Linked DNA regions of Astyanax mexicanus. The protein of the gene in region 1 interacts with the protein of each later gene in a pairwise test. Links are inferred from orthologs where the notes say so. Each region holds a gene or a part of one and is shown on either strand. Other genes may lie near its edges.

The links.
Region 2: the proteins of necab2 (region 1) and ccdc146 interact in binary tests that used the Homo sapiens proteins (3 or more experiments, as listed by UniProt). The two-hybrid records come from large-scale screens. The link is inferred for Astyanax mexicanus from reciprocal best matches to the Homo sapiens genes NECAB2 and CCDC146.
Region 3: the proteins of necab2 (region 1) and nek6 interact in binary tests that used the Homo sapiens proteins (3 or more experiments, as listed by UniProt). The link is inferred for Astyanax mexicanus from reciprocal best matches to the Homo sapiens genes NECAB2 and NEK6.
Region 4: the proteins of necab2 (region 1) and iscu interact in binary tests that used the Homo sapiens proteins (3 or more experiments, as listed by UniProt). The two-hybrid records come from large-scale screens. The link is inferred for Astyanax mexicanus from reciprocal best matches to the Homo sapiens genes NECAB2 and ISCU.

What each region holds. Positions count from the first base shown.
Region 1 is NC_064416.1:25,389,385-25,397,125, reverse strand, and holds the start of necab2 (N-terminal EF-hand calcium-binding protein 2), read right to left. Parts: upstream 3,009-7,741; 5' UTR 2,904-3,008; coding exon 2,571-2,903; intron 1-2,570. UniProt on the Homo sapiens protein: May act as a signaling scaffold protein that senses intracellular calcium.
Region 2 is NC_064409.1:35,913,539-35,920,753, forward strand, and holds the start of ccdc146 (coiled-coil domain-containing protein 146), read left to right. Parts: upstream 1-4,193; 5' UTR 4,194-4,401; intron 4,402-7,101; 5' UTR 7,102-7,104; coding exon 7,105-7,215. UniProt on the Homo sapiens protein: Essential for sperm flagellum biogenesis and male fertility.
Region 3 is NC_064424.1:22,039,652-22,047,180, reverse strand, and holds the start of nek6 (serine/threonine-protein kinase Nek6), read right to left. Parts: upstream 3,015-7,529; 5' UTR 2,853-3,014; intron 1-2,852. UniProt on the Homo sapiens protein: Protein kinase which plays an important role in mitotic cell cycle progression. Required for chromosome segregation at metaphase-anaphase transition, robust mitotic spindle formation and cytokinesis.
Region 4 is NC_064429.1:3,638,699-3,646,508, forward strand, and holds the start of iscu (iron-sulfur cluster assembly enzyme ISCU, mitochondrial), read right to left. Parts: upstream 3,023-7,810; 5' UTR 2,968-3,022; coding exon 2,866-2,967; intron 1-2,865.

The DNA.
Region 1 (7,741 bases):
ACACATTACTACCTTTTTTTTTCCTGTATCTGGGTCTGGAAATGAACTACTTTTCGCTCCACTGGCAGGCAGGGTTTTAACTTTTTTTCCCCCCAGAAGACACAGGTAGGGTAATGAATGATCAGGAGCTCTGAGAAGATAGTGAGGCACCACTTTGACCTGCTAAATCAATACAGCTGAGACCTCGCCTGAGCACAGCAGGGCTTCACTAGGAAAAGTTAATCAATTATTTAGGCAGGGTGTGCTTGTCACATAGGCTGTGTTATGGTCGTGAGAGAAAATACATTGGGGGCGTAAACAACGGGAAAATCGATTAATTAATTAAGAGATAAACTATGTAGGCTAGTCATACTATAAGACTATCTTAATAATATTGATGATATGAGATTATAAAAGATTTCACACGGCTGCTTCCGTGCGCGTTGTATTTCTTTTAAACCGCCAGTATTTGGGCAAGCCCCGCCTCCTGCGCTAGCATTGGCTGGTAGTATCTCTGCCAGGCGCTGGGATTCGCTAGTAGTTCACATCCACGAGTGAATCGATAGAGTATGAACTATGAACCAATCACAGCACAAGAGTTTAGCCAAAGGAGGGGCTTAACTGAGAAGAGGCGGGAAAAGAAGACGCTCGCCCTCGGCTCCAGCTGATCTCAGTTACGCAGTCTAATTTAAACACTAGAGAGCTTCGCACCCTCACAATAAATTTAATATTTAATATTTCAGTAAAATATTTGTATTAAGCTACAGAATAAGAAGCCTAACCACTAGAAGAGACGTTGGTTGTGGTGTGAAGGAGTGTACCGCAGCTGTTACTTTTTAGAATCTTGCCCAACATTCGTGTTCGTTTCTGAGCTCCACTGAATTAAATGGCTTTAGCGCGAAGCAGCGGCGTTACAGAGAGGATGCTAGGCTCCCTAACTAGGTTAACTAACTAACTAGCAAACTAGATATCACAGGTTAGCTAGCGAACCTAGCCCTCCTTAAGTAATGTTTCTGTCAAAAACAGATTTGTTACAAGAAATTACGTGATAAACAAGACAAGACCTAATTTTAAGAGAGACTATTATTCTGTTACTGTGCTGTTCTAAAATGATTTAACGCTCAATGACAAATTATATTTTTGGAAGGAATACTATGATGTTTGGAATGTTGAAAGCCCATGTGAATATAGGTAATCAAACGTATACAATTTAGATTTGAATCAGGTGTTTCAGAGCAAGAAATCAACCAAAACATGCAGGCATGTGTTCAACAAATGAAAAAACACTGTTTTAGTAAGTTTACAGCATGAATATTGTAAAAATATAAACAGCCAAACATTTTCTATACTTATTATGACCCATTGTACGTCTCGTTGTATTTGGCGTAGCGTATATATTCATTGTGACATTATATTAAAATGAAATACATAAAAATAAGCTACAGTGTATCAACCAAAAACTTGGTTTGTTGCTTGAAGTGTTAATAATGTCACAGAGGGTTAATAATTTAAAGACTTAACCCTCATAACCACTTAAAACGAATGTGTTGGCGTCGCTAGTAAGTTAGCTGGCTAAGGTTTGTACACATGTACTCACTCTCCAGGCGGATTTACATCCGATTTTTCACTTTTTTAGAGTATTAATCTAAAGAATACGAATCCTGCTCACTAGAAGAGGCGTTGGTTGGGGTGTGAAGGCAGTTTAACGCAGCTGTTACAATTCAGAAAGTTGCACAACGTTTGTGTTCGTTTTTGAGCTCCACTGAATTAAATGACTTGAGCGCGAGGCAACGGCGTTACGGAGAGGGTGCTATGCAACCTAACGTTAGCTAACTAGGTTAGCTAGTAACTAGCTAGATACAGATTTGGAAAAAATAAGATTCCGCCTGAAAATGATGAGTTTCTTTGATTTTACCAAACTGAAAACCTCTGGAAGATAATCAAGAGTAAGATTGATAATCACAAGCCGTCAAACCAATCTGAACTGCTTGAATTTTTGCACCAGGAGTGGCATAAAGTTATCCAAAAGCGGTGTGTAAGACTGGTGGAGAACATGCCAAGATGCATGAAAACTGTGGTTAAGAACCAGGGTTATTCCACCAAATATTGATTTCTGAACTCTTAAAACTGTATGAATCATTTGAGGTCTGAAAGCTCTGCATCTTTTTTGTTATTTCAGACATTTCTTATTTTCTGCAAATAAATGCTCTAAATGACAATATTTGGAATTTGTGAGAAATATTGTCTGTAGTTTACAGAACAAAACAACAATGTTCATTTTACACAAACATGTTACCTATAAATAGCAAAATCAGTTAAACTGATTCTCTTATTTTTTTTCCAGACGTGTAGCTAACGTTACCACACCGGTTAATTAGCTAATCTAGCTAAGTAACGTTAAACTCAGCCAAACCGCTGAAACACCTCCTCCTAACTCCTCCGCAAGTCATTTTACTGCCAGAAACAAAGTTAAACTTTAAGCGCGAGCACCAGCCAACCCTTCAACATCAGCGTACACAAACGCTAACACACTTTACACTAACACACACACACAGGCGCGAACACAAACACGCAGCTAAACAAACACTTACGTCCAGAATGACGGAGATGCCTTTCCGCGGCTCCGGGGCGAAGAACTGCTCCTGGGCCACGGCCACCTCCTCCTCCTCCTTGGCGTACTCCCGCGTCGAGATGCTTTTGTTGTCGCTCATCTTGGTGACTATCCAGCGGACGAGCCCGTCGATTCCCCCGGGCTGGGCTCCTCCGCCGCTGTTTTGGGCCGGTGCAGCCGTCGCTGTCTCGCTGTCCCGCGGCCCGCCGCCTCTGGGCTGCTCGCCGCTGTCCTGCGCGCGGAGTTTGCCTTGTTCCTTGTGGAGCAGCTTGTGGACGACGTCCCTGCAGTTGCGCGCTGCCTGCTCACACATCCTTTTGCCTCCGCGCGTTCATGCTGCGCGCTATGGGGGCCGGTCCCTCCTCCCCTCTGACATCAGCACATGCCCAAACACATACACACGCGCGCGCGCACACACACCTACCTCTCCAAGGCACGCGCACTTACTGCCCCTCTGAAGCGAGGCTTCTCTCAGTGCAGGTGCTGTTGCTGCTGCTGCTGGAGCAAACCCTGCCCTGCGCTGCCCTGCCTGCACACTTGGATGCCTGCCTGCATGACTGGTACTGAAACAGACCCGATTGCGCGGAGCAGAACTTCATTCTGATTTAGTTAAACTGGATGAAGTAGATTATGTATATAGTTCTCAGGGATCTAGCTAGACTCTGAAGCACACGGTTGATCTGCTGTAAGCTGTAAGTCAGACACTGGCAGACTTAAGGGGGTGGGCCAGAGGGGCAACTGCCCCCCTAGGTGTTCCCAGTGGTTCGCTAAAGTGGCCAAAAAGTGTCTGCTAGGGTGCCCCCAAAAAGAAGTTCTCTAGATCAAGAAATTTTCAAGTGTCTCAATGAGAACCCATCTTTGAGTGCCGTTATGAAGCACCTTCACTCCCACATCTGCTGCACAGCGTCCCAAAGGATGCTTTTTTTCCCAGCAGAGAAAATGAGATGCAGTGCTGTATTAGGTTCTCCTATAGGTGAAAAATGATGAAGTACCTGGTTAGGTGCTCCTGTCACAACAACGTGTCCCACCAGTGGATGAAATGGATTTGTATTGGAGTTGAATTACTAACCCAAAACAAAAAAGTAGGGACAGTGTTTATGTTCTGTCTGGTCAACTTTGTATAATTTCTTCTTCATATACATCAATTCCTTGATTATAAATTATAAATGTGTTCGGTTGGGTAAACTGGAACCTACAGGGTTTGCTTCACCATACCAGCTGTTAAATACAGACAATGACACACAAAGTTCTGTTTGACAAGATCTCTTTTGGTCATATGTTTTTTATGATCCTGTACTTGTTTACTGTAGCAGTAATAAAATCTCCAAACTATAATTTGATACTGATTTCATCAAGCCATATGTGAAGCTTTTGTGTAGCTTTTTATTCATACCAAGTACCAGCAGCAGTAAAAGTATATTTAATCAGCCTGAACTCGACTTTGAGTAACACACTGTAATCATTTGTGAAAACAAGTTTGTCCAGTGCCGCTGCATTTGCTGTATAAGCAAATTTCCAAAGAGTCTAATGAGTGTGTCTCCAGGGACACATCCGTGACCTGAACATTAGCCTCACAGCCCACAGTGTGAGCAGGAATGCAACAATGGGCAGCTGAATAATGGAGGAGTAATTGTCTCTGGAGAACCTATGGTCTTATCTGCCGAGACAAAATTGTATCTGCAGATATGTAAAAAATGAAGTAGACAAAAAGTAGATATCTCAGAGATAAGCAAAAAGGTAAAATGCACATTTACATATAACTAACTAAATCATGCTGATCAGGTTTTAGTGTATCACTGCCCTATACAAAATGACACCTTTTTTTTTTGTTTACAGAATAAAAATTTTTCACATGTGATTTAGAATGTATTCTAACCCACGGTTGAACATGCTCCTAATTCAATGTAAGCAGCAACATTCTGTACCAGTCCACAGGCTGACAAGTTTCAACCAAGGTCTATCCTGGAGACATTGCAGACCCCTAGCAGGCTGCATCAATATTACACAACCTTGTCAGAAGTTATTTTGGTCCAGGAAACAACCTTAATGGCATGAAGTAGAGACAGTAATAGAAGAAATGCTGGTGGTAGTAGGTGACACTCTCGCTTTGAACATTTTTCAAAAGATGTGATGGAGAACGGGGACAGGCATTAACAGATTATACTCTTCCTCAGTGGTGAGCAGCCATTGAGTAGATTATTATCTAGAATATTTTTTCTTTTAATAAAATACAGCAAACTGTGTTTGTGCAATAAAACTTGCATCTTTTCTTTTGGCTCCTGGTACCATACTAGGTTCATTTGCCCCTATCAGGCATCATCAGTGTGTAGTCATTCCCCCTTTAATGTGTACTAATCTTTTTTGGGAGTGTTGGCCTTGTTTTTGTAATGTATTTAATATTTAGAAATGTTAGACAGACTTTATTTTGTTACTTTTAGTTTATAATAGCTGTTAAATTTAGGTAATATTTACCTTCACATCAAAAGAAGATAGAAAATAGTATAAAGAAGCAAGAAAAACACATCTCTTGTAAATTTCAGCACAGAGGTTGTCACCTCCAGTCCTGGAGACCCACTGACCTGCACAGTTTCAGATACTCTCTGCCACAATCACTACTGACCAACCCCATGAAGGGCTTGATAATTAGATGATGAGCTGCATCAGGCATGCTGGGTGCAGGAAATCATTTAAACCAGTGGTCTCACCCTGCCTCTTCCCTTGCATCACACTGCATCCGATCCACTCATGCTATTAATGGTTCTAAAAAGAGTATAGAAGCACACATTTGGTTTCAGAAAAAAAACACATTTTTAATCTTACTTAAACCAGAAGTGGTTCTACTGTGGAATTGTTCACTAACATTTGTAGCAGCGTTATTTCCAAGAGGGCAGCTGGTCAAGTACTATGTGTAATGCACCTACAAAATGTAGAAGCACTGAAAAACATTAAAAGAACTTAGTTAGCAGCAAAGCATGTTATGTTAACCATGTTCAGAAGCAGGATCAACTCCTCTGGGTTCAAAAACATCTGGGATGGACCATCACACTGTGGAAACACGTATTTAATCAGACAAATCAATATTCCAGGTCAACTCTGTGAGCTTCAAACCAAAGCCAAGAAGGACCATGCATTTTCCAGGGACCTTCATGCATTTTTCAACTAGACAATGAAAAGCTACCAGGTGATGCTTCTGAGGAAGAGGGCATTGGTACTGGACTGGCCTGTCTCAGTCCTCACCTGTCCCTAACAGAGAAAGTGTGGAGACTTTTGAAGCACAAAATGAGAAAACAATACTGTACTGTTGCACACCTTAAGACATGTTTCCAAGAAAAATAGGACAAAATTTAGATTAGATTAGATTTAGAAATACTCTTCTTGTAAGTGAGAAGACATTACAACATTACCAAGTACTACAGGTCTGAATGCAGGAATGGATGTATGCTAAAAAAATAAATATCCTAGGTTCATAGTGTCAAAGTAAATAAAAACACATTTTTAGAGAAACATTTTTTATAAGTTTCCAACATTTTCTGATTAGGTGTTGTAAGATCTTCAGAACCAGGGTTAGTGATCACTGTTAAAACTATACATGGTTGGATTTTGAGGACTGTAGTTGTTTTATATAGGGTTGTTCTGTAGTTGCTCTCAATGTTTTTCCTTGATTGAAGCTTAAAGCAAAACCTTCCTGAGGTGATCTGGGTGTGTTTTATTTTGGAAAACACCTCACCATGCAGAGCAGTGGTACTTTAGGACCAAAATTCAGAACTACTGGGCTCCATGCACCATGTGAAGAGTTAAATTGCAAAAACAGTTATGTTTAAAAGAATAGCTTTGTTTTTGCCAATAAGCTCTTCATAATAATAAGTCTCTGCAGTGTAATACAATTGAGAGTAGACATTCTGTTGTCAAATCTGAGTCATAACAAATCTGAGATTTCCTCTGTGAGATCTTCATGCAGAGGAAACCTGGTACTTCCGCTGTTTCAGGAGGGGTGCTTTCTCACTTGCTTTCTCACTCCTGCGACACCCTCATTACCTTCGTGCCTCTATAAAGGCCTCAGATGACCTTTGCCAGTTGAAAGGGTGTTGAAAGGCTCCCCCAGTCCTGCCCTTTGCCAGAGGTGATTAAGTCCTCCCTGCTAAAAGGCCCCTTCATTTAATTGGTGCACAGAACAAGCCCCCCCATACACACAGTTTGTGGTCCTATAGTGAGGCATTTAGCCCGACAACAACGCAGTGCTGAAAATATGTCCCTGTAATGTACGGGGGAAACGGAAGCAAAAGCTTTTTAATGCTTTTTCTCCCCAAGCTGAGCTCGGGTAATTATGACAAGCCGTAATCTCTTGTCTTTGGCGGCGCCTGGGACGCCACCCCTGCTGTCTCAGTGCGGCTGTTACAGGCCGTTTCCCATCTCTTCTCAGAAGCGTGCGCAGTGGTGCGCTGCAGTGCCCCTACAGAGCTTAGAAGGCACTAAGCAGGTGGGCGGCTGCACTGGTTACTGCAGCTGTAGCCTGATCAGAATCTTGCAGGAGTGATCAGCGAGAGGAGGGCAACTTCTTAAAGATACTAAATAATAATAAAAAAACATTTTAAACATCTGCAGGTTTTTTGTAGTGGAGTAAAGGCATACTAAGCTAAGAATGAAGTCACACACCGTCTGTCTCTGTTCTTGCTGTCCATAACCAGTCTAGTCCCAACCTATGGAACCTTTGGCCGTGTCCAAGAGACAAGAAGTCGTGGAAGTCGTCTGACAATATGTTCTTTTTTTTTTTTTTATTTAGATGCCTCCTCTGCTCCTACTGCCTCTTGTACATTCATGTAGTCTCAGTAGAAAACACAATTCAGGAACCTTATTTTGGTCACAGTCAAGCATTTAATTAAAGGTAAAATATAAAATAAAAATTGCATTCTAATACAATCAATTTTTTCTTTACATCTACAACCAAACATATACAACCATATACAGGAAAAAAGAGACCACTTAAAAATTATAAGCTTCTTTAAATTTTACTAAATTGAAAACCTCTGGAATATAATCAGGAGGAAGATGGATGATCACAAGCCATCAAACCAAACTGAACTCCCTGGATTTTTGCACCAGGAGAAGAATAAAGTTATCCAAAAGCAGTGTGTAAGACTGGTGGAGGAGAAC
Region 2 (7,215 bases), on another chromosome or scaffold:
TAACAATATGAGACATTCACAGAAATCTAAATATTTTATGATCTTCTTCAGGGGTTTTAAAAAGGTTTAATATATTTGTGCTTTCTATTCGTTGACAAATGAGAACAAACCTCTGTGACTAAACAAAAACTTCCTTTTTTTTTTTTATTATTCCACCAAAAAACTGAAATGTCTTAGTACATGTAATATTTTAGACATTTATTGTTGTGACATTTTGTGACAAATTGTGTGATCTATCTGTCTACATTTTAAACTAAATATTGCTCTGTTTAGCTATGAATCGTGTCAAGTCTTTATGTATTTTTAAAAACATGTGGCATTACTGTACATATCCTCTACTCTGTGTTTAGGATGGTTTAGGAAGCCAGACAGTCTGGAAAGTCAATCAAGCCTTCTTTTCCAGTGTGCTGAGGACAAGCCCCTTCCATGTCATGACATATCCATATGTGGATTTTTAAAGATAATTTAGTTTAAGTGGCATTTTGGGCTAAATTTGGAGAAACAACTGGTCATATTAGTTGTGCTAAGCTTTTAAATTGTATTTGTTTGACATGTTTATCGCAAAAAGCTAAAATCTTGTACATTTAGCTAATAAGCCTATAATTTGCAATGGATGTTGTATAATGTTGATTACAACTGTATGTTACAGATGCAGCAGATGGAGATTAGGTTAAGAACTGCTGAAGTATTTCTTTAAAGAACTATTTGTGTAGCTCTGAAAGAAAGCTCTTTAGTGGAATCAGTCCAAAAAACCCATGAGACCTATAGCATAGACATTCTACTGTCTAATGTCTCATATATTTGGCTCACATTTGTTATTTATTTGCCAATGTCTCTATTCTCTAAGAACCAATTTTGTTCTATTTATCATGCATTTATGTCTCTCTCACGCTCTCTCTCTTCTCTCTCTCTCTCTAGTTCTGTTTCTCAGCTGTTTTCGGAGTTACCGTAAGCAGGTCACTGCTGGGGGCTGTTCTGGTCAGGCTTCAGAGACAGAATCTCCCACATGCTCGTAAAACTTTGTCTCTGAGAGGGGTACGGTGCCACTTTTCACTGCATGCACTGATTCATAAAACCACAGATGTTTTCTCATCACGGCTCGTGTACCAAACTCATGATGTAATGTGGTACACATTTTTGTTGTTTTTTGCTTTTTTCCTAAAAAACAAAAAGACATTTTCATTAGCTTGATGGAAGTTCCTGGATCAGAGCATACATGTGTAAAACGGCTGACAAAATCCAAACACAATTTCTCATTTTACAATTGTTGCTTTATATTCTACAGCAAGGACACACAGTGTTGCTGATGCAAAGCAGCAAAAAATGATAAGACCACTCAGAGTGCCCCCTAGTGGAGCATGTGCAACCTGTTAAACATGAGCGAGTCAGTGAGAAAGTGAGTGAATTAGAAGCCTACCAAGATAGCAATGAACGTCTGACTGTTGACATCTGTTTCCATTGCTTGTGACATTATTAGCTGAAGCCAAGAAAACATTGTATCCACAAGAAATATGCTGAGGCCTTAAGATAGCAATAAGCATTGCGACGTGTCTTGCGCAGAGAGTTCATAAACTAAAAGTAAGGTCCACTTTAAAATTGGGGTTATCTAACCCCCATGCTTACGGTTTTCTCCATGCCTACAGTACTGTCAACACTAGCTAAAAAGTAATAAACCTTAATGAAAATATTAGCTCTCTGGACTATAAATGATGCTGTTTTTTTCTGTGTTAGTCTGCCGTTAAATCAGCAAGTATCTCAATCAACTTGCATTTCAAATTTGGAACCTGTATAATGCAATATGTGAAACTAAACCAAACCATAGATCAACAATTCTAATCTTTTTTTTAAGACATTTTAAGTTTTTTTTAGGGTCCACATACATCCTGTTCACATAAGATACGAAGCCAGCTAACTGCTAAAGTAACTTGCCATTAAAAAAAAAAGTTCCTGATTTAAGAATGGCTGGAACTTCTGACAGACATTCTCTTGAGTACAAAGTATGCGAAACAGTCATCTTTGCAAAACATATGGCAACTATAAAGTTCTGCTCATAAACATTTGCATGGCATTTTCCTGATGAGCTGAAGAGAGGAACTGATTATGTTCAGGACTGTGGAGACACCAGCAGAGAAGATGAATAGAAGACAGGATGGAATTCATTCATGGATGAGTTCCAAGGTATAGGTCAGGACACATCCTTGAGTAATATGAAGAAACTTATAGTCAGTTTTCTACATGATCTGGCACTAATAAACAGGATAGGAAACAGATATGTGCAAGGGTGAAAGGTCACAGTACATAAAAAGGATATGATCAAGGCAGTTTGGTGAGCTCGCCAAACAAAGCTGCAATAAGGAGGTAACAATTAAATGAAGATATACTTTGGTTTAGGAAATGGAAAATGAGGGACAGGACTTGGAAAAACTAAATTAAAGGGTAGTGTACTAAAATAAAGGGAGGTCTGACTTGTGGCTTGGCTTGTGGAGAGACAGAAGGCTTTGAGATTTGGCAGATGATATTGTTTTGTTACCGATAAGCAGAAGGAGAAAAACAGAAGGGTTTATTGATATGGACAATTCTCTTATCACTGTAGCAGTAAAAACTCATTGGTTTATGATGTTATGCTGGGAGTTATTTTACAAAATGGGCTAGTTCTGGCCCCTAGAGGACACCTTAGGTATAGTCAGGGATGAAACCAGTATATTTCTGTAGTTTACCAGTGAGGAGGAATGTAGGGCTTGCAGGGTGGCAGGAGTGTATTTATACATAACTTTTTACTGGGACCCAGTTAGGCTTCCCCATATGGGCCTTATCATTACAGCCCACCTTAATCAAACATGGGTCCCATCTGGGCCTCATGTGCAGAGTTCATTCTACAAGAGTTCATGTTTAACCCCTCCTCATTTCATCACTGGCCCTGATGGAGCCCATTACTGACATCCATATGTGGGACCAACGTGGAACCCATTTGCTCTTTTCATGCAGCCGCCATTTTTAATTGAAAGTGAGGCTTTGATGGGAGGAAGTAGAAGTAAGTCCACACTCAACAATGGTGTGGACCACATATCTTCAGCTATAACCACGTTTAACCATGAACCATCTAGAAAAAGGGCTGAAGAGGGATGTTTATTAACAAGAGCAGGATACAGCAACTGCATAGAGGGGTACATCACTAATATCGTAAAGTGTTAAGGTTTTAGCCAACATTAGCTAACCTTGCTAATGCTAGCTAGCTGGGGCTAGCCCGACTCTCCAAGTCCGGTGAAAAGTGCTGCTAATGCTGCTAGCCCAACTCTAAAAAGCCTAGTGAACATTATGTAACTACATAAATATATAATTCTGGAAACCTTAGTTCTTTAAACATTTTTCTAAAGCATTAGCAGCAATGTTGACAAGTTATAGCTAGCTAACCTAGGTTTAATTTATAACATGCTAACCTAACTTTAATTTATAACTTATAACTAGCTAACCTAGCTTTAATATATGTTATAACTAGCTAACCTAGCTTTATTTATAAATCATAACTAGCGAACCTAACTTTAATTTATGTTATAACTAGCTAACCTAGCTAGGAAAACGTGGGATAATACAGGCAAACACGGGGTCAAACAGGCAAACAAGAGGGTAATATAGGTAAACACAGGGTAATGCAGACAAACACAGGGCAATACAGGCAAACATGGGATAATACAGGCAAACACGAGGTAAAACAGGCAAACATGTTAGTATATATCTTGCATTCTACCTCATTGCGTGCACATATGTTTTTACTGGTACTGGTTTGTACATATGTTTTACTGTGTTTTACATACCACCTTAAATACCCTGTAGGCTCCCTGTGTGCAGTGTAAAACCCAGCTGGGGTTCATGTTTATCCCCTCCTGGTCCTATTATTGGCACTGATGTGGCCCATCACTGTCATTTGAATCTGTGTACAAACAAGATCTGCATGATCATCCAAAACCAAATGCCAGCGTTCACACTTCTTCTCCCATCTGAAAACTCGATGGAGCAAATATCTCGATGTAGATATTGTGGTGAAATCACATATTTTGTTAGATTTAAGCTTTGACTATATGGATTGTGGTGTTAAGCACATCAGAGTGTCTGTTTTTTCAATCAGTCATTTATCTCTTGCATGTCCTCTGGATCTACTGATGCTCTTCTGGCGGCCTCTAGTGGAGAGAGCTGTATCTACAGTCTCGAGCGGTTGGTATGGAGACAGCGGCAGCCTCCTGATCAACAGAGCTCAAACTGAGATTTAATAGTTTCACTGTTTTAGTGAAGCGCTTTATAACAGCGAGCTTTAAACAGATTTATCTTCCTGTGGAGGTGTGTAGCTTTATTGTGTTTTTTTTTTTTTTTTTTACCGTGAAGCAGAAAACCTATTCTGGAGAGACGGTAAGTCGAAGGCACTTATTTAGCGTAACTAAGAAGCAACAATAAATGTAACGTTAACTGTAACTAACCGAGCTAAGTTAGTTAGCTTAGCTAGGTTAGCTAATCACTAGGTTTGGTTTGTTAGCTAGCTAACTATTACTTGTTAGTTAAATAACATAAACTAGTTCATTAAGCTAGTTAGCTATGTTAATTAGCTGAGTTGCCTGTTAAATGAACTTTACCCACACCGCGTTTTTCAACTCAGTTAACGAGAGTAAACAGCTGGGTTGTGTTGTGGGTTGTTTAAGTGTGTGTGAGTGTGTGAATAAATATGACAAATTCTCTAATAGTTTGTCACTGTTTTCCCTAATTGTCAATTTAAAACAAATAAAGGCCATGCAGGTAGTTACCTACACTTGTAAAAGTAAAGTATATTAAGTATATTTTAAAAATATGCTTAACCTGGAAAAGTACATACTTTTCCAAATTAAAATATGTACTTAAATAAATACCAAATGTACTATTTTTGAACAACTTAAGGTAACTTAAGTTAAATATATTTCAGTTGTAATTAAGGTAACGTTATATTTAAGCACAACGTAAAAGCATTAAATTGTGCTTTTGAGTGCTTTTACTTCTGTGAACTAAAGTAGATTGAAGCAACTTAAGTTTTAACACCTTTTTTAATACACTTGAAGTATATTGTAAGTGTACTACTGTGCGTATTGATGCACATAATGTGTACATCTTAATGCTACTGGAAAAAATACACTAAAGTGCTCTTTAAGCAGTATTCAATGCCATTATATATATATATATATATATATATATATATATATATATATATATATATATATATATATATATATATATATATAATTTTTTTTTTTTTTTACTTATTTACTTATATTTATATATCTATTCCTCCCCCACACCACTGCACCTTGTTTTTGTCTCATGTATGTCTATTTGTGTCCCTGCTGTATTGTACACATAGTGTCTCCCATTTTCCTTTATTATATCTATTATCTGTACTTGCTGTAAAATTGGGAAGGAGAGTAACGTCATTTCAATTCTCTGTATGTCCTGTACATATGCAGTATTGACAATAAAACTACTTGACTTGACTTGATATATATATATATATATATTTTTCAATCAACACATCATTTAAAGCATTGCTTAAAAATACATTTTATGTAAATACAGAGAAAGTATATTTAATATATATTTTTTATAAAGTATTTGAAATTGAAAATGCACTTTTAGTATTTTTTACCCAATTTGAACATACTTTATTGCTCTTAAGTATACTTACTTGCACAAGGGTGCAAGTAGCTAAGCTAAGAGCGTAGGTAAACTAGTTAGTAAGAAAACTATTTTAACTACTTTAATGGAAAGAGACACTTTTGCCTTCTTTAACTGTATTGAAAAAGTATTTAATGGAAAATGTTTATTGGAACGAGTGTCCAATACTTTCAGTATTGGACACTCGTTCCAATAAACATTTTCCATTAAATACTTTTTCAATACATTTAAAGAAGGCAAAATATCAAATGATGCTATGAAATGTGGAACCAGGCAGTAACTAGAATATTTAAATCTGACTGGTAACCTATATATTAAGTAGTTTTTTTTATACTTTTGTAATGATTGCTGTATTTATTTTATAGAATCTTCATAGCTTAAAACATGTGTGCTTATTATCCTTGGTGTGCTATCAACAAATGTTTTAGGTTTGTTTGTTTGTTTAGATTGATTCGTATTATTTTTTTCCTGTACATTTTAGTTACATTGAAACCATTAAAACATTAAACAACAAAAAAAAGAGCTGAGCGCTCCACTAGCTATCAAAATATAGATCAAGATAAGAGAATAAAAAAAACAACAACATATTCTTAGAATAATTTCCTTTTTTCTCAGAGTGGGTTGAATCAGAAACAATAACAAATGCACCTTTTTTCCACTATTTAATGAGACATTGCTGCTGCTGCTGTACCAACAATGTTTACTCTTTTCTTTTTTTGTACTCACAACACTTTACACATGCATATGCACTTTACTCACACAACGTATTTTTTAATTTAATAGTGTTTTTCTTTAATTAGCTTTACTGTTATTTGTACTTCAATGTGTATTTAACTAAGCAAATGATCTGGGGGTTCTGCAGTTGGTCAGGTTTAGGTTCAGCAACAGTATGTGCTGAAAGAATGAGGTCAACTGACTACCTGAATAAACTGAATATAGACCAGGTTATTCCATCAATTTATTTCTTCCCTGATGAACACGGGCATATTCCAAGATGAAATATGCCAGTATTAACGGGGCTGGATTTGTGAAAGAGTGGTTCAGGGAGCATGAGATAATACTCAGACCCTCCCATCATCAATGCAAGATCTTGGTGAAAAATGAATGCAACACTGGATTGAAATAAATCTTGTGACATTGCAGAAGCTTATTGAAACAATGCTACAGCGAATGTGTGTCGCAATCAAAGCTAAAGGCGTTCCAACCAAATTTTTGCCCAGGCAGTGTACTGCAAGGAACTGCAACGTAAGAATTGTATTTATCAGCGTAACTGCTTGTTTCTGCTGTGCATATGACAGTAAAACTCTTGAATCTTGAATGTAGAGAGAATCTATATAAGAGGCAGCCAGCTGTCTATAATCAGTAAGGGTCAGTAAACTGCGAATGACTTTCCCCATGTGCTTGTTTATGCAGATCATGCGTCGACCAGAAGGCGGCAGTGCTGGAGAGGATGAGGGGGCGAGTGAGCCAGAAGTACCTATCCAAGCATTTGCTCCAGAGGCTGATTTACAGGAGGAACCTCAAAGC
Region 3 (7,529 bases), on another chromosome or scaffold:
AACCACTTAGCAACAGCGCAGCAACCACCAGAAACAGCACGGAAACTGTCTAACAACTTCATAGCAATCAACAGGGATACCATATAAACCACAACAACCCTCTAGCTCTCTACAAACCACATAGCAACCAACTTTAAATTACTCAAAATGTGTAGATACTCTTACTCCACCTCTTATCCTACCTATAACCCCGCCTCTTGTTAGAGAATTTACATTTCTAAATTATTACTGCCACCACAAAGAGGAAATTAAGCTGGATACATGTGCAGACAGATCTTTGTTCACAAGCTTAACACAGTCCAAATAATCAAGCAAAGGCAAGAAAGACAAATAAACACAGGCTTAAGTAATGCTCAGTGCTTAAAATTTAATAAATGGAAACTGAGACTTCGCAACAAGTCTAAAGCTTGAGGCTCTTTTATAGAGAGAATGAATTGCTTTCAAGTAAGGGGGGCAGGGCCGGTGATCAGAATTCTGGTGATGCTGAGTATTTTCATATTTGCACACCGGCAAACCACTAAACTCTGGACCCAAGCAAAAACTTCCCCCTAATCCCACAAACCAACTAAACTACTATACTATATATTTCTAATACTATGGTAAGCCACTACACTCTACTCTACAATATTACACTACTGTATTACTCTACTACTGTGTAGTGTGTACTAATCTACCATACTCTACTATAGTATAATTTACCTTACTACTCTATTATATTCTACTATTTTACTACTGTATTACTCTACTGTAACATTCTTCTTAATTCTTCTGTGCTACTCTACTACTGTACTTTACTGAGCCCTCCTACTCTACTCCTTTATTCTACCCTACTTCTGAACTATGGTACTACTCTAATTTACTGTGCATTATTACATTCTACCCTACCCTACAATACTCTACCATTGTATTATTTCATTATACCATACAACTCTACTAATTTACTACTCTGTTATGCCCTAATACTATGCTACTGTATTATACTACAACCTTAATATATCACCCCACTATCATATAATATCTACCATACTACTCATCTATTATGCACTACTATGCTTATACTCTACTCCTCTACTACTGTATTACTCTACTACTCTATTAATGCCACTACTCTACTGCTGTATAACTCTACTAATGTATCACTCTATTGGTCTACTATGCCCTCCTTCCCTTATACTGCATTACACTACTATTTTTATTATGCCCACTACTGTATGACTTTACTACTGTACTACTCTACTACTGTATTACCCTATCAGTCTCCTACACCCTACTCCCCTATCACTGTATTACTTTACTCCACTATTAAATCCTACCACTACTGAACTACTGTAATATTCTACTATTGCATTAGCCTACTCCTCTATTATGCTAACTACTCTACAACTATATTACTCTACTACTCTACTACTGTATTACCCTATTAGTCTACTATGCCCTATTACTCTTATACTGTACTACTCTACTACTCTTTTACTGCCCACTACTGTTTGACTCTACTACTGTATTATTCTGTTACTCTATTATGCCTACTACTCTACAACGATATAACTCTACTATTCTATTATGCCCACTACTCTAATACTAAATGACTCTACTACTTTATTACCCTATTAGTTTACTATGCCCTACTCCTCTTATACTGTATTAAAAGTAATTTATCATGCCCACTACTGTATGACTTTACTACTGTACTACTCTACTACTGTATTACTCTATCAGTCTCATATGCCCTGCTCCTCTAATACGGTATTACATTACTCCTCTATTAAATCCTACCACTATACTATTGAACTACTTTACTATTCTACTACTTCTACTACCCTACTACTCTATTATGCCCACTACTCTACTACCGTATTACTTTATTAGTCTCATGTGCCCTACTCCTTTATTACTGTATTACTTTACTCTTCTTTTAAATCCTACCACTATATTACTGAACTACTGTACTATTTTACTACTGTAATACCCTATTACTCTATTATTTATGCCCCAATTCTACTGTATTACTGCATTAGTGTACTATAACCTAATCCCCTTATACTGTATTACCCTACTACTCTACAACTATTTTACTCTACTACTGTTTTACCTTACTACTCTACTACTGTATTACCCTATTAGTCTCATATGCCTTACTCCTCTATTACTGCATTACTCTACTACTCTTTTACCGTAATATTCTACTACTGTATTACCCTATTAGTCTCATATGCCATATACTACTGAACTTATGCTGCTGCATTACCCTATTAGTGTACTATGCCCTACTCCTTTTATACTGTATTACTCTACTAATTTATTATGGCCACTACTGTATGACTCTACTACTGTACTATTCTACTACTGTATTAGCCTACTGCTCTATTATGCCTACTACTCTACTGCTGTATTACCCTATTAGTCTACTCTGCCTTACTCCTCTAATACTGTATTTCCCTACTTCTCTATTATGTTCTATTACTGAACTACCGTTCAGCTCTACACTCATTCACGCTCGTGACCGCTGCACCGCTGCGCGAGCAGTCTGCTCTGGACTGGGCGGTGATTTCCCTGTTTACCCCACTGCTGCAGGCACCGCGCGCGCGCACACTCCACCCCACAATACACAAGAAACCTATAAAGAACTAGAACTAAAGACAAAAAAAGCGCTCTGTGTCCACGCGCACTTACGAAGAGCATACAGTTAGTCACGCGCACTAAGCGAGTACAGCGTGGAGTTACTTGTGTGTAATCTTTAAAGTTCTGCAGCCCGCGCGCGTGTGCGCTACAGCGCGAGGCGTGTTGCGTTTATTATTATTATTGTAGGCGAACCGTTATTCCGCAAGTGTGCGTGTGTTTATTTATCCTACCTCACTCCTCGTGCTGTAGATTAGAAAGTCATCTCGCGCTCCTGTATTGCTCTATGAACCTCGTGCAGCTCCACGCGCCCTGTCTCCTCCCCTGGTCTCGCGCTTTTCTTTGTGTGTGTGTGTGTGTGTGTGTACAGGGAAATTCTCGCTCTCTGGGCGGAGAGAGAAACACCCGCAAACTTTCGCAGGAGCCTCGCGCTGCCACTCAGCATCAGTGCGGCTGCGCGCATGCGCCCTGGCCGTGTTTATGGGCCCTCCTCTACAGTTCAGATCTCAGAGAGATTTCAGATTTTTCTTTTGTTTAAACAAAACAAAAAAATAACCAATTTTTTCAGCACCGCTTTTATCTCCTTCACTGCAGAGCAAAACTATACTATTGATAAAGAGCGCCACCTTCTGGTTTTAAAAAGGAAGTTTACTAACCCTTTTTCCATCCTGTATGAATGGTGTTTTCTGTCTGTGATGCACAGAAAAGAAGACTCTAATATTTTACTATATAGAAAATACATCCAATTAACTAAAAAAAATATATACACATCTCTGGAAAAAAGATCACTTAAAAATTATGAGTTTCTTTGATTTTACCAAATTGAAAACCTCTGGAATATAATCTAGAGGAAGATGGATGATCACAATCTATCAAACCAAGCTGAACTGCTTGCCACGGAGAGTGGCATAAAGTTATCCAAAAGCAGTATGTAAGACTGGTGGAGGAGCCAACATGCCAAGATGCAAATAATTGCTCTATTGCTTTATTTTCTGCAAATAAATGCTCTAAATTACAATATTTTTATTTGAAATTTGGGAGAAGCGTTGTCTGTAGTTTACAGAATAAAACAACAATGTTCATTTTACTCAAACATATGCCTATAAATAACAAAATTAGAGAAACTGGTTCAGAAAAGTGGTCTCTTCATTTTTTTTACAGAGCTGTATATTTTATTTACATTGGATTGAAAACCTATGTGTAATATTTTATATTTAATACTGTGCTTTTCATTTCATGAACTATCCCTAAACAGTGGGAAAACGTGATTAAAAAGTGTTCCAAGTCACATAACATTAGTAAAAATTACCTCTTATTTTGCCTCAATGGCTCTAATACTACTGCTTCTCCCAGTGCAGTGGAAGGGCCAAGTTACTATTTCATTGGTTTAAAAACTCAACTCATTCATAGACTGGTTCATAGTCTATACTGATGGACAACAGTTCTCTAATACTGTTATGTGCAACAAAACATTTTAAAATAAAGAAAATACATAATGTCCATTGTAATGGATGCAGGATCTGAAAGGGTTAAATAAGACTTTCTATACCCCCAGTACCTTCAGATACTTATCCACACGCTGCCATGTTGCAATTGTGTCAAGATAAGACTTAACTGATAAACACAAACGAAAAAGATAGGGAAACAGACTACAAAATGCAGACAAACCAAGTCTCCCTGAAGCAGCGGGAGTCTCACGCATTTCGGTAGTGGCTCCCTGATGCCCGCGAGTCACATATAATCTCCCGGAATTCAGAACGATTTAGGGTAACCTCCCTGAAATCAACTTTTGCAACTTGGGATGTCTGAAAATGAATTCTGTGGAAATGTATAATTTCCAGCTGTTGCTGAAAATATCTCTATAATATTTATGGATTTCCACAGAAGTTTGAAGGAATATCCTACCTATTTGTTTGTGCTTGTTGGTTGACTTATTGTGACTTCATTTCAAAATGGGGGCTCCCGGAGGACTACCTCAATGTATAAAAAGTATTATTACCTGTGCATAAAAAGTACCTGTGCACTTTCAATGTGTAAACATAGTGATTTCTTTGCATGGGCAAAGCAATGCCCCTATCACTAGCATTGTAAGCCTGTTGGGAGCATCGTATCATCATCGTAGCATTGAGTGCTGTATTTCAGAATGCTGGGGGACGAATGAAGGTGGGCTATTCAACAAAAGTTCGTACTTGTATCATGTTTTACTATACCTCAAGTCCATTTCATACCGGTTTCCCCTTTTAATCTATTTCAAAAGTGTCAAATCATTGTCATCTAATATAAAAATCGGATTGAGAAGTGTACATCGCAAGTGGGGAAACATCATTTTGGAGAAAGAAATGTGGTCTGAAAAAAATCCTGATTGATCGTTTTCAGTCACTTAAATCACTTAAATATTTGGTGAAAAAAAAAAAAAAAAAAAACAATAATAGAAATTTTCACACATGGATTTCCCACCACAGAGTCCAGACCTGAACCCCATTGAGGATCTTTGGGATGTGCTTGGTCAAGCTGATCAACCAGTTTAAGTAGTTTAATCTGTATAGGTTTATGTTTTTAGCTTATTTTGAACAGACACATTTGGATTATGTATTTATTTTAGGTAAATGTGGATTTATTTTAGAATAAACTTAATATGTATAGGTATGTGTGGGTTTGCATGTGTTTGTGTGTGTGTGTGTGTGTGTCCACACGCGCACACAACACGTTGCACCACACGTGAACTCTTTCGCGCTCAGTGTCTGCGTCATATCCAATGGGGAAATACCTTCAGTTCACAAATTTATGAACAGCCAACACCACCAGAGCGACTGTTGCCATGGCAACAGCTCTGTTGTACACTCTAAGAAATATAAGTACAGATTTGTACTTAAAAGAGTACAAAGCTTGTCGCTGGGGCTGTACCTTATATTGAGGTACAAAAAAGTACCTTTCAGTGAAAGTCCTTTTTTGTACCCATGGTTTTTGTGCCAGTATAGATTATAAAGATTATAAACATTGTCATCAACTAAAAATGGCTCAAAAACTTGATGATACAAAATTGTCTGGCTTTCAAATAAAAAATGTGCAATTTAAATATATACTGTTCATTAGTACAGTGATGCAGAATACTGAATGTACCTTTTGGCTGGTTAAATGGTACAAATCTGTACTTATTGCTGTTAGAAATGACTTTGTACTTCAGAGGGAACAAATCTGACCCTGTAAAGACCAATATTGTACCTTTGAGGGTACAATTATAAAGAATGTACCTTCGAGTACAAAAAAGTACTCATATCGTACCTCTGTTTTTTAGAGTGTATTGAGAGGCCAAGAAGTAACACCATTTTGAAAATACCAATAAAAGTAAACTTACATACATACAACACATAAATGTGAACTGTGTTTCCGTGTGTTTTGCTATTTTTGTGATGACCATATAGTGGTTTATGTATACAAATACTTCTGTTATAAATGATAAACATCAGTTGCTTGGTACCATACATGATAATTCAGCATCAAACTTATTATTTACCAATTATTGTAGTGTGGTGTAAAAGCAGTGATACCATAACCTTGGAACTAAGATCTAAACTTGGAACTTAGTCCAGTTTATTGGTGAACCACAACAGAACAGAACAACTGAGCAATGGTTTGTCTTGTTACAGAAGCTTATTTAAAGTGGGCATTAAATGTAAGTGACCTCAGAAGGTGTGGTAAGCTCAGGGATCTGGCTAATGACCTCTGCGTTTGAGTAAAGGGGAAAGATGACCTCTGCTGAAAATAAAACCCCTCAAACTCTAACTAGAAAGTAATTGAGGTAAATTATGATTCCTAGAAGGCCCACAAGCATGGAAGTCATAATTTTTTGAGAGCAGCTTGTGCCATGCTCAACCCGAAAGCCATGCATTTATACCGGAAGACCCACTTGTGAGTGATAAGGGCAGTGAAATTGTGGCTGTGCAGGTATAATAGCACTTGTTGGAAGCCCTGGCATAGACTAATTTTTGTCCCCAGTTTGAAAGGCCAACAACCCAAACCCAATCCTTAGGACTCTTCCTATGACAACAGTGCCCCCAGCATTTGGAGGGTGAAGACTAGCAAATGACTCCTCTGGCACATGTGAAATCAAATTACATTTACAATTACAATGCTTTCAAACTACAACTGATGCAGCATCAATGGGTAGAAAGGGGGGTAGGAAAGCGCAGTGACCCAGCTCTGATACATTAGCTAACAGTTGCCTGTGCTGACTGACATTATCTGGGGAGTGATGTGGGGAAAGAGAGCCATCTACCCATCCTGATAAAGCAAGGCCAATTTTTCTCTCTCAGACTGAAAAAGGTAGCACAATCTAGAACCTTAGTCCGCTAGACAATTTTGAGCTCAAATTGGAATAAACTGGAACTAAGCGGTGAGCTCCTCTGACATTTGAAGGGGGTACTATTTATTATTTTTCCCCACTCCCAAGTTGAGGCATGCATCTCTTCAGTTATGTTGACTGCTCCATCACAATGCTGTCCCAGAGTGCTATTGGAGAGCGGCCCATGCCATGAATGTTAAGTCAAAGTGAGCCTGCAGTATAAATTTCTGAATAAGTGTAGCCACCCAAGGAGGGTGCTTCTAGTGGTTTGTGAGAGAAGAACCGGTTGTAGGGCACCAGGTTTAGCAGTGAGACTGCAGCACAGGTATCTAGGAGCAGGGGCAATGTGACCTCATCAATAATTAATAAACATGTTTAGAAATGGCAGTTGCCCTGTTCTGATCCTGCCGACAGAGGAGGTTGTTGGGTTTGGGGCTCTGTTAGAGGCAGATTGGCATCCCAATCATGAAAAATCCCACCAGTTCTCAGATCTTGGCCAAAGAGCTGCAAATTACCACAGGGCCAGTGCAGTTATGTGATTAATATATTGTGAAAAGGTAGGGTTAAT
Region 4 (7,810 bases), on another chromosome or scaffold:
AGGCAAGCCGATTTAGTCCTTACTAAGATTTTACTAATAAAAACTCTAATTGCAGGTCTCTGTATTGATGTAGGTCATTAGTGGAAACTCTAATTTCAGATATGATTCAGAAATAATTACTTGTAATAATGTCAGGTCTACAGTGATATAAAATCATTCTGAATAGATGTAATTCCAAAAGCACACATCCTTAACATAATTCTATAAATCCCTTACTACTGACCATTGAGATATAATTTTTCTTTTTTAGTAGTAGATATTTTAATTTTGGATATCTCCACTGTAATTCTGACAAGTTAAATGTCCAGTTCCACATATTAATAAATTAGTGTTGATTCCTATAAATCATAATTCAAGATATGCAGTTAGGAGTAGTAGGGTTGGGTGATATGGCCAACATCTATATTTGAAGAACACACTAATTGCAACAAAATAAATATTAACATTTATTTGGCGATAATATTGCATATGATATATTATGGCACACTCCTAAATGAGAAGTGAATTCTACACATAGCAAAAAAGTTGTACCCTAATCGCCCTAAAATTATATGACATGCGATAATGATTATTGCATACGAAATTATATGATTATATCTACAGTTTGAGTTTTGACTAGTCATGATAACGGTACAATATTTTTAAATAATATGTAACAATAAGAATTACTTTATCTAGAACTAGAATTACTTACTAGATGTCTAGAACTACAATTTCTAAAAATAAAAAAGTGCAAATATCTTATTTTTTTTTATAGTTAAGTGTGTTAAACTTTATGGAAATCAGTGATAACATCGAAATTACATTAAAAATGTGCTCTATGGCTTTATAAAGCTTTAGATCTGATACTTTTTACTAGTAAAGGTGCCATAGCTGATAACTTAAACTAATATTTCCTCCAGTAAAAGCTGCATTACAGTGACCTTGTTTTACCTGTAAACACTGAGATAGCCAGGACTTGTAACCCATCACTGGTGTCAAAATTCACCTGATAATGACAATGACCTCAGAAAACAGTGTACCTACCTATTACAATAATTCAAGATTCCGCTAATATAAAGTTCTAATGAGCATTTCTGATAGTTTTAGATAGAAAACAATATAATGTTTGATATCTACAATATTTAACTGTGTACTAACACAAATGTAATTGCAGAGATCTGTAATTAAAGTTTTTACTAGTAAACTGTACTTTAAAATGCATGCAGATCAGTGGTAACATGACAGAATTACATTAAAATTATGCTCTATGTCTGTATAAAGCTTTAGATCTGATAGTATTACTAGTAAATGTGTCATAACATTTATTCTGCATTACAGTGTCCTTGTTTTCACCAGTAAACATGGAATTGGGTATCTAGGCATTCTCTCTCTGGTGTCATTTTAGGCAAATCTGCGTGTTGTAAGTACCTAAATCCCACAAACATGTTTAATTTAAAGAAAAATACATCTAATAATGACAATGACCAACTCATACCTCAAGATATCTCTAATATTTAATTCTGATGAGCCTTTTGGATAGTTTTAGATCAAAAATAAATGTATCAATAACTATAGTTTTCACTAGTAAAAATGTACTTAGAGATAGTTAATATTAAAGCAGATCAGTGGTAACATGACAAAATTACATGAAAAAATATGTGCTTTACAGATTTATAAAGCTCTATATCTGATATTATTACTAGTAAAGGTACCATAGCAGTTGTTCTGCATCACAGTGACCATGTTTTTACCAGTAAAAACTGAGTTGGGTAGCTACGCACTTCGACTCTGATGTCATTTTAGGTTAAAAAATGCTTAATTTAAAGAAAAATACACCAGACAATGACAATGACCTTGAAAAACAGATTCCCTATTCATCATAACTCAATATATCTTTAAAACGTAGTTCTAACAGTTTTAGATAGCAAATAGCATATTTTTGGATATCTACAATGTTGAACAGTTACTACGAACACAAAAGTAATTCTGTCTGTAACTACAGATTTGACAAGTAAATGTATACTTTAAAATGCAAATAATATACATTTACTATACGTAACTATATTAGTTTTTACAGGTAAAAATGTACTTATAGTTAAAAGCATGCAGATCAGCATTAACATGACAAAATTATACCATGTCTGTATAAAGCTTTAGATCTGATATTATTACTAGCTAAGGTACCATAGCATTTATTCTGTATTACAGTGACCTTGTTTTCACCAGTCAATACTGAGTTGAGTAAGTTAGCTAGATCTCTAGGGTCATTTTAGGTTGAAACTGCTCGTCATAAGTGCCTTAACCGCACAAACATGCTTAATTTAAAGGAAAGTAAGACCAGAACTTCGATAAACATGTAATCCACCCACCTATATAATCAGCTACAATACAAGAAGCTTCACTTCTGAGGCTGCAGCTGCTCAGCGGATTTCCCCAGTCCACCTTAAATTCCCCAGCAATAACAGGGCGGCGCACGTGAAGGTGCCTGTCTGTATCAGCAGTAGGATTTAAGGTGGAACGGAAGATTCGACTACGCATCAAACTTAGCTTGGTTTAACGTTACTTATCCAGGTCAAACAATAACTGTCACTTATCTAAGCGAGGACACCGCGCTGTGAACAGATAAATAATTATGTAGTGTTATATCCTGCTGTAGAAGGGCTTTGTACTTGTTTTTCTGAAAGTCTCGAGCAGTTAAGCTTTATAATAAATATAAAACAGAGCGGAACTCGCTAGTGTTAGCAGCACTAGCTCGCTATGCTAACGGAGGATTAGCGCCCCAGACAGCAGCGCTGTTAGCTAACAGGCTTAAAGTGCGCAGACACACACAGCCCGGTTAGTTTCACAGCTCAGAAAAGCGCGCAGTGTTTAACAGCCACCGACCTTCTTGTGGTAGCAGCACACCGCCTTCGCCTCCGTGCCCGTCAGAGTTCTGCCAAACAGCCCAAAGGACGAGAAGCACTTCCCCACCGACGACAGCGCCATGTCTCCACTGCCGACTCTCCGACTCCACACAGACACTGATAATAACAGCCGCTGTGAAGGACAGACAGCAGGGGGCGCTGTTAGACCTGGGTGTATCTCAAATTCCAGACATGCTGACTTGATGCATTGCTGCCTACACTAGCTCCCTCAGAAGGCAGTATGTTGATGAAGGATGTGTCTCCGATTTTAAAAGCAGCATTAAAGTATTCTATAGAGTATAAATTACAGAGTACAGAGTATAAAGTATAGAGTATACATTATATAATATAGAGTATAAAGTAGAGTATAGAGTACAGAGTTTAGAGTACAGAGTATAAGTTATAAATATAAATAGAGTATAAAGTATTAAGTACAGAGTATAGAGTACAGAATGTAGAGTATAGAGGACAGAGTATAGAATATAGAGTAGGGTTGCCACCTTTCCCGAATTAAAACAGGGGAAAACAAGTGCCTGTGGAATCAAAAAAAAAAAAAAAATGGGACGGGTGGCAATCTTAGTATAGGCAGCCTACTGCTAGAAATAAGTGTTTATCTGGGTTATTATTAGTTGTTAGCAATTTCAGCCACTAAAAAATACTAGTGTTGTAGTACTCCAGTCTGTCCTTGATCTCAAGACCATAAACCAGATTTGGAATTGTTTTTGTCTTACTTTCAGGAGAGATGGACTCAGAGACCCAGAAATTCCAATGTGTCTCTCCTAGGTAATGCTTATTCGAAACCAAAAATACAAACCCACACAATCAATGTTAAAAAGGACAATAACCCAGTGTTATTTTCTGACATTTTTTTTAATGTGATAAGCTAATGGTGCAGACTGCAACCACTGTCAACTCCTCAAACCAGAGCGAATAGGGTTAGCTGTGGTGCTATTGGTGGGTCTGTTTGTTTATATTAAAGGTGAGGTGCTAGACTAATACCGTATGTATGTTTATCAGATAATTAATGTTTCAGAATAATAGAGATATGATGAGACAACTTATGCCCCAGTCCTAATATGTCCTGTGTGTGGCAAGTTAATCAGCCATGTATACAGTTGCAAGAAAAAGTATGTGAACCCTTTGAGATCACTTGGATTTCTAAATTAATTAATTATCAAATGTGTTGTGATCTTTATCTAAGTCACAGCAATAGACAAACACAGTCTGCCTAAACTAATACTACACAAACAATATATGTTTGCATGGTTTTATTGAAAACAACATGTTAACATTCACAGTGCAGGGTGAAAAAAGTATGTGAACCTTTGGATTTAATAAATGGTTGATCCGCCTTTGGCAGCAAAAACCTAAAAAAAACGTTTCCTGTAGCTGCAGATCAGACCTGCAGTCAGGAGGAATTCCTCTTTACAAAACTGTTTCAGTTCAGCTATAATATTCTTGGGATATCTGGTGTGAATCGCTCTCTTGAGGCCATGATGCCACAGCATCTCAATTGGGTTCAGGAGGACAGGACTCTCCAGAAGGCGGATTTTCTTCTGTTGAAGCCGTTCAGTTGTTGATTTAATTCGGTTTTGGGTCGTTGTCCTGTTGCATCATCCATCCTCTGTTGAGCTTCAGTTGGAGGATAGATCTTAAGTTTTCCTGCAAAATGTATTGGAAAACTTGGGAATTCATTTTTTTGTTGATGACGGCAATCCGTCCAGGCCCTGAAGCAGCAAAGCAGCCCCAAAACATAATACCCCCTCCACCATGTTTCACAGTTGGGATGAGGTTTTGATGATGGTGTGTTGTGCATTTTTATACACATAGCGCTGTGTGTTCCTTCCAAACAACTCAGTTTTGGTTTCATCTGTCCACAGTTTATTTAGCCAGTACTGCTGTGTAGAACATCCAGGTGCTCAATTGCAAACTTCAAACGTGCAGTATTGTTTTTTTGGACAGCAGTGGCTTCCTCTGTGGTGTCCTGTTTTCTTTATTGTAGATCTGTCAACAGAAATGTTAGCATGTGCCAGAGATTTCAGAGAGTCTTTAGCTGACACTCTAAGATTCTTCCTCACCTCATTGATCATTCTGCGCTGTGCTCTTGCAGTCATCTTTACAGGACAAACACGCCTAGAGAGAGTAGCAACAGTGCTGAACTTTTTCCATTTGTAGAGCGTTTGTATTACCGTGGAAACATAAACATCAAGGCTTTTAGAGATAATTTAGTGACCCTTTCGAGCTTCATGCAAGTCATCAATTCTTGAACGTAGGTCTTTTGAGAGCTCTTTTGTGTGAAGCATGATTCACATCAAGCAATACTTCTTAAGAGCAGCACACTCTAAACTGGCATTGGTTTTTATAGGACAGGTCATCTTTAACCAACACATCCAATCTCATCACATCCTGCCTCCAATTAGCTCTTAGAAAAGTCATTAGCCTAGGGGTTCACATACTTTGTCCCTCCCTCACTGTGAATGTTAACATGTTGTGTTAAAAAAACATGCAAACATATATTTATGTGTATGGTATTGGTTTAAGCAGACTGTGTTTGTCTATTGTTCTGATTTAGATGAAGAACAGAACACATTTAATGACCAATTTATGCAGAGATCCAAGTAATCCCAAAGGGTTCACATACTTTTTCTTGCAACTATATATTAATATTGGATTGCTTTACCAAAGAAAAAAGAAGGTACAGGTGAGAAAAGTAAAGTGAAATGATGGGATTTTACTGTCCAGTGTGAGCAGAGGTCTGAAAAATACATTCTGAGTTCTGAGGAACTTTCCACTTTTAGCTATTTAAATTAGACCAGGTAATAGAGAATGTGGGAGGAATGTTTGATAACAGTTTTACAGGTTTACCTACTTATATGATAAAAAAATACTTAAAATGAAAGTAACATACCCGTCCTAAATACATAATAGTTTGTTTGTCTCCTGTAAACTCTGCTTAACTTCATTTACAGTCCAGTTTATTTTTTTTAGGGGAAAAAGAGCAGCGAGGCTGAACAACAAGGTAGTAATGCTCTGCTAATGTTGCTGCTGTTAAAGATTTTCACATATACAATAGAATAAGCAAATGGTGCCCTGTAACTGCAGGACTATTTACAATGTAACAGCTTTATTCACACATCATTATTAGTTAGGTCTGGTATATATTTTAATCAGCTTTTCTCAAATTTGCTGGATGGATTTCTATTCAAAGTCCATTCCATTTGAGGAATTTATTTTCAAGAGATGGTAAAATGGCTATTTCACTGTGGTTTTAGAAATACAGCCATGCCAGAATTAGTTCATGAAGTAAAAAACACTTTTTCTTCTGTCGTCCTGCAGGCAAAACTACTAATCCCAAACATCAGTGAACTTATGGCCAATTTCCTGATTTCTTTTTTTCTCTATTTTGCTGTATATATCTGTTAGTTTGTGTAGCGAAAACAGTTGAAATGTATTTGTACATGTCATTTTCCAACCTTGCATCTTCTACAACTAAGTCTCAGATTGTGCTACTTGGTCTTTAAGACTGATATATGCAAATTGTTCTTTTCTGATTGGCTGGTCTGTATGGCGCCTAATTCCTGGGCTGTTTATTTATTTTTATTTGGTTATTTCAACAGGAAGAATCAGAAACCGCACAGAATTGGTTGACATAAAAAGGAAAAAATAAAATAAAAACATCCATGAGGGTACAGTTATGCAAAGCGTCCTGCCCACAGTTCTTACAGTCATTCTATTTGTGTATCCTAAACTAAAAAACATAAAATTGTGAAAAAAAAAATCTGGCAAACAGTTTCTTTAAATATATGAGCAGAAGTGGTTAAACATTTAGATGGTTGACATGTGACCCTGACTTCACGCTAATGCCATGTAATTGTAGAAACAAACAATGGGTCTATTCTGGCATTACTCCTTTAAAGTATATTTGTCAGATACATATTCATACATGAAAAAAACTGAATAATATATAAAGTAAATAGAACATATAAAACAACAAAAAAAGATAAAGTGTATATGTCATATTCCGCCAAATCTGTGACATTTCTTTCCCCAGGAAATTACATGTATAAATGTGCACAGGAAAAACTTTACTTTAAAATACATTTTATTATTGAGCATAATGTCTTGTACACTGACCAAATTCCTTCAGAGATGTAATAAATATGCTTTAATTTTTTTTCCACAATAGATTCATTATATTTAAGTTAAAATACACATTTTAGTTGTGTGCCTGAGTTACCGTAACACATTACCCCATCTGAAACATCTGGAACATTCTACAATTCACATCTACAACATGAAGTGACATCAGTTGGTTCATCTGAAGACCATGGGAAGACAAAAATTAATATTTTTTGTGTATTTGATCTTATTGTAACTATTGACTGAGGGGGCCACTCTCAACACTCTGTCCTGTAATCTAAATTAATTCTTAAATCTTATTTATTTTTAAAATACAATTTTTGGGAAAATCACTCAATGTGCTCAATTTCCTCATGCTTTTTTCATGTTTTTGCAAATTCTATGCTAAAAGCTCATTCTTCTTAATTTTATACCTGTTGTTAAAAACACAAAAAGTAACAGGAGTGATTTTTTTTGTCATAAATATCAATTATTAGACATGCAGTCAACCATTTCTTTAAAATAAAAACTTTCTTGAGAGGAAATGAAAGGAAACAGTGGACTTGCTTTTAAACATGCATTTTAAGCTTACATGAGTTTTGTAACCACCATTTACAAGCTTAGACATATGTGTTATTAGATTCATAGTTGAAAAAGGATAAAAAAACTAAGTTTAATTTGGAAGAGTTACAACAAGCAAATTGCAGCCATTGGGTGGAATAGCGCAATATCAAGTTAAAATGTTCAACAAACTGCTGTCAGAAACAAATAATTAAAAATAAATTTCTTTTTCTCCTCCGCTTGGC